Linked DNA regions of Macaca mulatta. The protein of the gene in region 2 purifies or fractionates together with the protein of the main gene of each other region. This does not show direct contact. Links are inferred from orthologs where the notes say so. Each region holds a gene or a part of one and is shown on either strand. Other genes may lie near its edges.

Region 1 (4,860 bases), on a different chromosome or scaffold from region 2:
GAGTCAGGTCAGGGAGGTCGACGTTGCAGCGAACACAGATCTCACTACTGCACTCCAGTTAGGCAACAGCACAAGACCCTGTGTCTTAAAAAAAAAAAAAAAAAAAAAAAAAAGAGATAAAAGAATCGAAACCAAAAACATGGAATAAAACAAGCGGGACCAGCAAACACAATTATGCCACATCTTACAGAAAATAAAATAAGAGGGTTTAACTCATTTCTTATGCTTACAACCTATGTTCTGAAGAAACATTTTGTATAATCACCATGGATTTTTTCATAGAAAGGACTTCACTGGAGTTTTTAGTAGTCTCTGTACAAAGGAATAAATTGTAGCCCCAAAGAATTTTTGCTTAACATGGAAAGATAACGGTTTCTAATAATAAAAAAAAAAAAATAGAAGCTGTTTAACTTACTCCACCTTTATTCTTTCAAACACCAGGTTTTCGATTTAACAGACCTGATTACGTTAGTTGTTCACCAAGCTCTAAGAAAACTGGTCATTTTTTTTTTTTTTTTTTTTTGAGACAGAGTCTTGCTCTGTCGTCCAGACTAGAGTGCAGTGGCCGGATCTCAGCTCACTGCAAGCTCCTCTTCCTGGGTTCACACCATTCTCCTGCCTCAGCCTCCCGGAGTAGCTGGGACTACAGGCACCCGTCACCACGGCCGGATAGTGTGTGTGTGTGTTTAGTAGAGACGGGGTTTCACCGTGTTAGCCAGGATGGTCTCGATCTCCTGACCTTGTGATCCGCCAGCTTCAGCCTCCCAAAGTGCTGGGATTACAGGCGTGAGCCACTGCACCCAGTCAAAAACTGGTGAAATTTCTAGAAAATTTTAGCACATGTGAATTCCTACAGTTCTTTTATTTTTATTTTTTGAGATAACTCTTGCTCTGTCGCCTAGGCTGGAATGCGATGGAGAGATCTCTGTTCGCTGTGACCTCCGCCTCCCAGGTTCAAGCGACTCTCCTGCCTCAGCCTTCTCAGTAGCTGAGATTACAGGCACCCGCCATCATGTACAGCTAATTTTTGTATTTTTGGAGAGACGGGGTTTTACCATGTTGGCCAGGCTGGTCTTGAACTCCTGATCTCAGGTGATCCGCCCACCTCGGCCTCCCAAAGTACCAGGATTACCGGTGTGAGCCACCACGCCAAACCTTTATGGTTCTTTTAGACGTAATTGTTTTACTTCATGTCAGATTTTTATTGTAAGTTTGCAAAGTTTCCATTAGAAACTACGATGGAATTGTTCGAGTTACAAAGAATGAACAAGCAGATAAAAACAGCAAAGGTAGAAAATCACAACTTACAATCTGACCCTCAGTTCTTTACTTGGAATTTTCCATAATACCACCATTAAAAATAAATTTTCACTCTCATTCAAAAGCAACCCGTAATTGTTTTTCCTGGACTTGCAATGTGTCAAGAGCGCATCCACTGCCTTTCTAACCTGCAAAGTGAAGATTGACAAATAAGTGAAATGTTCTCACAATAACTTACACAAATAAGTGAAATGTTCTCAATCTAATTTAGCATTTGTCCCCTCTCACACCTATTTTTTCCCTTCCAACTTCAATTTCAAGGGGTAACCTCCATAACCGTATCTATGAGGATCTTGCAATTTATATTCAGAAAAATCTAAGAATCCATCAAACACGCCTAAGTACCCACTTCCAGCACTGTCTGCAGGACGCCTCTTCTACTTAAGAGATCGGGCCAGAGGGAAACGTGCCTCTCCTACCCTCAACGATGAAAGCAGTAATCCCACGAAAAGCGCAAAGTGTCATCCATTTAGCATTTACTGAGCACTCTCGTTTTTATTTTTTTTTTGAGACACAGTCTTGCTCTTGTCGCCCAAGCTGGAATGAAATGGCAGGATCTCGGCTCACTGAAACCTCCGCCTCCCAGGTTCCAGCAATTCTCCTGCCTCAGCCTCCCGAGTAGCTGACAATACACGCGCCCGCCACCACCCCCCAGCTAATTTTTGTATTTTTAGTAGAGACGAGGTTTCACCATGTCGGCCAGGCTGGTCTCTAACTCCTGATCTCAGGTAATCCACCCCCCTCGGCCTTCCAAAATGCTGGGATTACAGGCATGAGCCACCGCGCCCGGCCTACTGAGTACCTTCTCACCACGTGCCAGGTCCCTGGTCAAAGCGCTTTACACGCATTACCTCTCCCGATCCTGGATAGCGGGGAGTGGAAGGGCCCATTTTAAATAACGGGTAGCAGACCTGCAAAACTAAACGACTCGGTCAAGGGCTAACGATAGGGAAGCTAAGCCAGGTCGCCAGGTCATCTCGTCTAGCTCCACGGTACACTTGCAACCCAATTCAAGAGCGCCAGGCCGCAGGACTGGGGGAAGCAGGCGCCCACCCAAGTGTTTAAAGGGGGAGGCACACGGCCCGCAAGCGACCGTCCCACAGCCTCGGAGAAGTGCGCCGAGCACGCACTCAGGTTCTGGCACCCTGCGCCTCACGAGGTCACCGCCACCCCGCTTCCAAGCCACCCTCCCCAGGAACCACTCACCTGCTCTTTGTCCAGCTGCTTCCGTGCTGTCGGGGCCCCTGGAGTCGAGGCGGAGGTTGCAGTCGAGCCTGAAGAAGACGGCGGCGCGGAGGCCGAGTCCTCCATCTTGTTTTCACCTCGTGAAGACGCGGGTGTGAAACCCCGCGGCTGGCTTCTGCTGCGCACGCGCGAGCGAGGCCCGGACCCGGAAGCGAGGGGGCGGGAACCGAGCCTCTGTGCGTCATTTCCGGGCGAGCGTAGGGTTTTGCACTTAAGGGCGGTGGCTGCTGTCAGAGTCTGTTCCTTGAGGAGGCACCTGCTCTTCTGCTCTTCTCCCGCTTTCCATGAGGTGTGAGTAGTAGCTTGGGTGTCCCCTCAATCTTACACGATAGAAATCAAGAAAGCACCTTGAGGCGGGAGTCCCGTCAGGAGGCTCAGTGGGGTCCCGCACACTCCACGGTCCCCGCCTCCGGGAAGGCCGCGCGTGGCGTGGGCAGAGAGCGGAATCCTGGCTCTACTGCCCACCTGCCGGTTGACTTTAGGCGATGCCAACCCCAGGCTGGTGAGGAGTCCATGAAATATAAGGCACGGGAGCCACCCGGCGCGTCGTTAAGCAGCGTGAGGGACTGAAAGATGAGTCTGAGCCAATCTCTTAGCTTCTGGTCTCGCAGAGAGGCGAGAGGTAAGATCCACAAAAAAGCGTGGCTGGCCGTGCGCGTGGCTGGCGCCTGGAATCCTAGCGCTTTGGGAGGCCGAGGCGAGGGATTCCAGTAGTTGGAGACCAGCCCGTGCAATATACGAGACCCCATCTCTCCAAAAAATACAAAGATTAGCCGGCGTGGTGGTGCGCGCCAGTAGTACCAGCTACTTGGGAGGTGGAGGATGGAGGATCTTGAGCCCAGGAATTGGAGGCTCAGTGAGTTCTGATCCGCGTCACTGCACTCCAGCATAGGCAGTAGAGCGAGACCTTGTCGCTAAACAAAGAAGCAAGTAAGAGCGGAGGCTGGGTAACTGACAAATCGAATATCTTACAACAGGGGAGTCCAATCTTTTGGCTTCCATGAGCCACAGTGGAAGAAGAATTGTCTGGGCCCACATATAAAATACATTAACACTAATGATAGCTGATAAGCTTAAAAAAAATCTTTAAAAAAATCTCATAATGCTTTAAGAAAGTTTACGAAATTGTGTTGGGCTGTATTCAAAACCTGGCCTCCAGGGCCGCACGCGGCCCTTGGGTAGGACAGGCTTGCTTTGTAATGTCTTCCTCCCACTCCACAAACCTCCCCAGAGGTACCCTTACCAGTGCCTCCTGGAACCTTCCAGAGATGTTCTAGGTATGTTTAGGAGATACTTCTCCTTTCTCTTTTTGGATGGGTTTAATTTCTTTTTTCCTTTTTTTTTTTTTTTGTGTGTGTGTGTGTAACAGTCTCGCTCTGTCGCCCAGGCTGGAGTGCAGTGATCTCGTCTCACTGCAATCTCCCCATTTTCAGTTCAAGCAGTTCTCTTGTCTCAGCCTCCCGAGTAGCTGGAACTATAGGCGCACGCCACCACGCCCGGCTACCTTTTTTTTTTTTTTTCCCGAGACGGAGTTTCACTCTTGTTGCCTAGGCTGGAGTGCAATGGCGAGATCTCAGCCCACCGCAACCTCCGCCTCCCGGTTCAAGCTATTCTCTCCTGCCTCACCCTCCCCAGTAACTAAGATTACAGGCATGCGCCATCACGCCTGGCTAATTTTGTATTTTTAGTAGAGAGGGCGTTTGTCCATGTTGGCCAGGCTGGTCTCGAACTCCTGACCTCAGGTGATCTACTCGCCTTGGCCTCCCAAAGTGCTGGGATGACAGGAGTGAGCCACTGTGCCCGGCCATTTTTTTTTTTTTTTTTTTAAAGAAACGGAGACTGGCTCTGTCACTCAGGCTGGAGTGTAGTGGCGTGACTATAGCTTAACTGCAGTTTGGAACTCCTGGGTTCAAGAGATCCTCCGGCTTCAGCTTCCCGAGTAGGTAGGACTAAAGGTTCTGGTCACCATGTCCTGATATCTTTTACAGTTTTTTTTGTAGAGATGAGGACAGGGAGGAGTCTCACCATGTTGCCCAGGCTGGTCTCGAACTCCTGGCTTCAAAGGATCCTCCCACCTCAGCCTCCCAAAGTGCTGGGGTTGCATGCATGAACCACTGAACCTGGCCAAACTTACTTATTAGAAAAACACATATAGTAGCCTGGTATACCCATTGTTCCACACCTTGCTTTTTCTTCTTAACGTACCTTGGAGATTGTTCCAAGTCAGTACACAAAGCTCTGCCTCATCTTTTTAAACGGCTCTATGGCATCCCACCATGCAGCAACACTACAGTT
Region 2 (4,860 bases):
TCCAAATTCAATTCCAATAGAATAAGGCCATGTATCTACAGATTGATGATGTTAAGCAGGGTTTCTTTTCTTTCTTCCTGCTAAAATCCCAGGTAAAACAACAGTGATTTTTTTGTTTTTTTAAGAGACAATTTCTATTTTTCACCCAGGTTGTGGTACAGAGGCATCATCATAGCTCACTGCAGCCTTTAACTCCAAAACAGGAATTCTGCACTTTGCCTATCTCACAAGAGCAAATTAATTTATATAAAGACAGTTTAGGGCCAGGTGCAGTGGTTCATGCCTGTAATCCCAGCACTCTGGGAGGCCAAGGCATGAGGATTGTTTGAGGCCAGCAGTTACAGGCAAGCATGGGCAATATAGCAAGACCCTTTCTCTATTGAAAAACTTTAAAAATTAGGCTGGGCATGGTGGCTCACGCCTGTAATCTCAGGACTTTGGGAGGCCAATGAGGGCGAATCACAAGGTCAGGAGGAGACCACCCTGGCTTAATACAGTGAAATCTCGTCTCTATTAAAAATACAAAAAAAATTAGCCACGCATGGTCATGCACCTGTAGTCCCAGCTACTTGGGAGGCTGAGGCAGGAGAGTTGCTTGAACCCGGGAGGCAGGGGTTGCAGTGAGCTGAGATCGCGCCACTGCACTCCAGCCTGGGCGACACAGCAAGACTGTCTCAAAAAAAAAAAAAAAAAATTTAAATTAGCCAGACGTAGCGGCACACACCTATACTCCTAGCTACTTAGAAGGCTGAGGTGGGAGGATTGCTTGAGCCCTGGAATTCAAGGCTGCAGTTAGCTATAATCATGCCACTGCACTCTAGTTTGGGTGACAGTAAGACTGTCTCTACAAAAAATAAAAGGGCAGGACGCGGTGGCTCATGCCTATAATCCCAGCACTTTGGGAGGCCGAGGTGGGCGATCGGATCACCTGAGGTTGGGAGTTTAAGACCAGCCTGACCAATGGAGAACAAGCCTGGGCAACGAAAGCAAAATTCGATCTCAAAAAAAAATAACAAATAATAAATAAAATAAAAGAGACACTTTATGAAACAAAAAGTTATAAAAACTCAGTCTATCACCCTTGTGTAAAAAAGATGTACTTAATTTAAAATAAAATAAATAAGTTACAAGAATATGGAAGGAGTGACACCTCAGAACCAAGTAAGACAGATGACTGTGGCTCCTATTTGAACTTTCTGACCCCCTACAACTTTTCATACTATTTAAAGCAATTAGACACATGTTGTAGCCTCCTTAGAAACCTATTCTGGCAGAGCCCCAGAACAATCTTGGAAATACATATTACACTGAATTCTGCCTCCTGGAAACGTCAGGCCTGGTCTCTGTTCTCAAATCATAGATTAAAAATAATCTCCTTGCCAACAAAAAACAAGCTAGTCTCCTTCCAAAATTTTATTCGTTTTCATCCCTTGGTTCCACCAAATAAGACCAAGTTTCCCATCCTGGTGGTCTCTTTTGGAATATAACAGAGTTTGGTCATGTATCTCTGGATTTGAGCATGCCAAATTGAAAGCAACTGACTGATGCGATGTAAACCAGGACCACTACTTCTTGCACCTGAGTACAAATCTGCCGCGGCTTCCTACGATTCTAAAATATTGCTATTGTAAGAGCTCCATATCAAAAGGCAGGGAAACAAACAAGTAAAGTTCATTCTAAGTAGTGTACAACCTAAGTCCAAGAACAATCTTTCTTCCCACTGACTTATCTCAGAACAGAGACTCAGTCACAAGTTAAATCACTAGGAAGCAACAGCAAAGCAAGGGACGGCTGTCAAGGTTAAGACTACTGCACACTGCTGGCCTATATAAAAAAACATGGTGTACACTCAGCACCGCAACACATGCCTTTACATTTCCATGGGAAATCTAGTCAATATAATACTAAGAAGAACTGAGTTACGTCATCTTCTCAGGGCGGCTTACCGGAAAACAAACTGTACTTCCCTTACTAGAGTTTAAAAAGTCACTAAAGACGCCGCCCACGTGCGCAGATGAGGTTAAGGTATCTCCAGTCTACTCTAAAGCTCCAGTCCCCACTTTTTTTTTTTGAGACGGAGTTTCGCTGTTGCCCAGGTTGACTTGCAGTGGCGCGATCTCGGCTCACCACAACCTCCGCTTCCCGGGTTCACGCAATTCTCCGGCCTCAGCCTCCCGCGTAGCTGGGACTACTGGCGTGAGCCACCATGCCCGGCTAATTTTTGTATTTTTAGTCGAGACGGGGTTTCACTATGTTGGCCAGCCTGGTCTCGAACTCCTGACCTCATGATCCGCCCGCCTCGGCCTCCCAAAGTGTTGGAATTACAGGCATGAGCCACCGCACCCTGCCTCCAGTCCCCACTTTGACTTGACTTGTAATTCCCTTCGCGCACGCTCAAGCCGGGAGTTATGTCTCAGCCAGCAACGTGGAGCCTGACTGAATGTCCAACTCTGCGCACTGTGTGAGGCGCGCCCAGTCGCCGGGGACCACGTGGGACACCCGGCCTTCTCCCGAGCTCCAATAGGGCCTCTCTACCAGAGTTCCTGGAACAATGTGGATGCCTCTAATCTCAGAGGAAGAGGTCAGCGCGCGGCGGCCCCGGCTTGGTCGGGCAGACGCATCCACTGCCTGGGAGCGCACCACTGCTGGACGACCGCCCGTCAAGACCCACGCCGGGTCTCTGGACGCGCTGTTACCCGCCGCGCGCTCTCACGATCCCAGCCCGGGCACCTCTCCCGCACCCCGGGGTTCCGCTCCACTCAGCGTCCCTCCTGGCCCCAGGTCCCTCCGTTTCACCTTCTCGGTTTGTTTTCGCAGTGTCTCCCCTTTTTTCATTGCGGTGTCTGATTCCAAACCAGCGTCACTACGGAGTTTTCCCGGCATCTTCAGCGCAGGCTGCCCAGGTCAACCAGTCTTCTCAACCGCGTGGAGAGGAAGAGGTAGTTCCCCCTCCTCTGTCCACCCGGCTCTCGTCACTTCCCGTAGCAAGGCACTTCCGGGGAAAGCAGGAAGCACAGGAAAGACTGCTCTCCGCGAAGTAAATTCAAAGCAACGGCCTGTGACTGTGGCTAAATTTAGTGCATTGACTGACCACTGGCGGCCTTTGGTCTAGAAGGCACCTATGGAACGGTAAAACCGCAAGGAATTACAAAGGTTAGCTTTGTATTCTCCAACACTGGCCAGATTTTCCCTAGCCCCAGCCTGAAAAATGAAGGCTTCTAGTTGCTTTTGAGTGGAGCATCTTCAGTGCTTTATGTTATATTGTTCGAGTTTGCACGTGCAGACTCGCGGATGTGTATTTTTTTTTTTTTTTTTTTTGAGACGGAGTCTCGCTCTGTCGCCCAGGCTGGAGTGCAGTGGCGCGATCTCGGCTCACTGCAAGCTCCGCCTCCCGGGTTCACGCCATTCTCCTGCCTCAGCCTCCCGAGTAGCTGGGACTACAGGCGCCCACAACCGCGCCCGGCTAATTTTTTTTGTATTTTTAGTAGAGACGGGGTTTCACCGTGGTCTCGATCTCCTGACCTTGTGATCCGCCCGCCTCTGCCTCCCAAAGTGCTGGGATTACAGGCGTGAGCCACCGCGCCCGGCGCGGATGTGTATTCTTTTTTTTTTTTTTTTTTTTGAGACGGAGTCTCACGCTGTTGCCCAGGCTGGAGTGCAGTGGCGTGATCTCGGCTCACTGCAAGCTCCGCCTCCCGGGTTCCCGCCATTCTCCTGCCTCAGCCTCCTGAGTAGCTGGGACTACAGGCGCCCGCCACCGCGCCCGGCTAATTTTTTGTATTTTTAGTAGAGACGGGGTTTCACTGTGGTCTCGATCTCCTGACCTTGTGATCCGCCCGCCTCGGCCTCCCAAAGTGCTGGGATTACAGGCTTGAGCCACCGCGCCCGGCCTGCGGATGTGTATTCTTAATCATCTCTTGGAAACGTCTACTCTGAAAGTGTCGGCCAGACTCAGGAGCCTGAAGGAAAAAAAAATTCAGTCGGTTCTAGTCGGTCATTCATGCGTGCACTCAAACATTTTATGAGCGTTCACTGTGTCAGGTAGGACAAACAGGGCTAGGATTCACTAGCAGACACAAAAGCCTTATCCTCAAGAAGCTTTATAGACTAGCGGGAGAGAGAGAAGTCTTGTGGTTTGAGACAAGAGTCTCCTTCTCTGTCACCCAGGCTAGAGAGTGCCATGGCGCGACCTGGGCTCACTGCAACCTCTGCCTCCCAGGCGCAAGCGAATCTCCTGCCTCAGCCTCCAAAGAAGCCAGGACTTCAAGACCAGCCTGGGCGACATAGCAAAACCCCTATGTCTTTATATATACATATATAAATATATAATATTATATATATAATATATATGAAAAAATAAATTTCAAAAATGGGTTAGAATCATAGAATACCTGACATTGACAATCAGCCTTTTTTTTTTTTTTTGAGACAGAGTCTAGCTCTGTTGCTCAAGCCGGAGTGAAGTGGTGCGATCTCAGCTCATTGCAACCTCCACGATTCTCATCCTTCAGCCTCCCTAGTAGCTGGGATTACAGGCCTTCGCCACCACACCCAGCTAATTTTTCTATTTTTAGTAGAGATGGGGTTTCACCATCTTTGCCAGGCTGGTCTCGAACTCCTGACTTCAGGTGATCCACCCGCCCGCCTCAGCCTTCCAAAGTGCTGGAATTATAGGCATGAGCCACAGCGCCCAGTCTTTATTTCATTTTTTTGAGACAGGTTCTCCTTCTATTGCCCAGGCTTGAGTGGAGTGCAATGGTGTGATCACAGCTCATTGCAGCCTCAACCTCCCAGACTCAAACGATCCTCCCACCTCAGCCTCCCGAGTAGCTGGGACTACAGGCATGTGCCACCATGCCT

The links. Proteins that work in one complex are often made in the same cells at the same time.
Region 1: the proteins of DDX21 (region 2) and RSL1D1 purify together in Homo sapiens (affinity purification with mass spectrometry; 3 studies listed by BioGRID and IntAct, with this or other methods). This does not show direct contact. The link is inferred for Macaca mulatta from reciprocal best matches to the Homo sapiens genes DDX21 and RSL1D1.

The regions. Positions count from the first base shown.
Region 1 is NC_133425.1:12,994,490-12,999,349, forward strand, and holds the start of RSL1D1 (ribosomal L1 domain-containing protein 1), read right to left. Parts: upstream 2,632-4,860; coding exon 2,527-2,631; intron 1,449-2,526; coding exon 1,309-1,448; intron 1-1,308. UniProt on the Homo sapiens protein: Regulates cellular senescence through inhibition of PTEN translation. Acts as a pro-apoptotic regulator in response to DNA damage.
Region 2 is NC_133414.1:80,682,120-80,686,979, forward strand, and holds the start of DDX21 (nucleolar RNA helicase 2), read right to left. Parts: upstream 2,940-4,860; 5' UTR 2,884-2,939; coding exon 2,797-2,883; intron 1-2,796.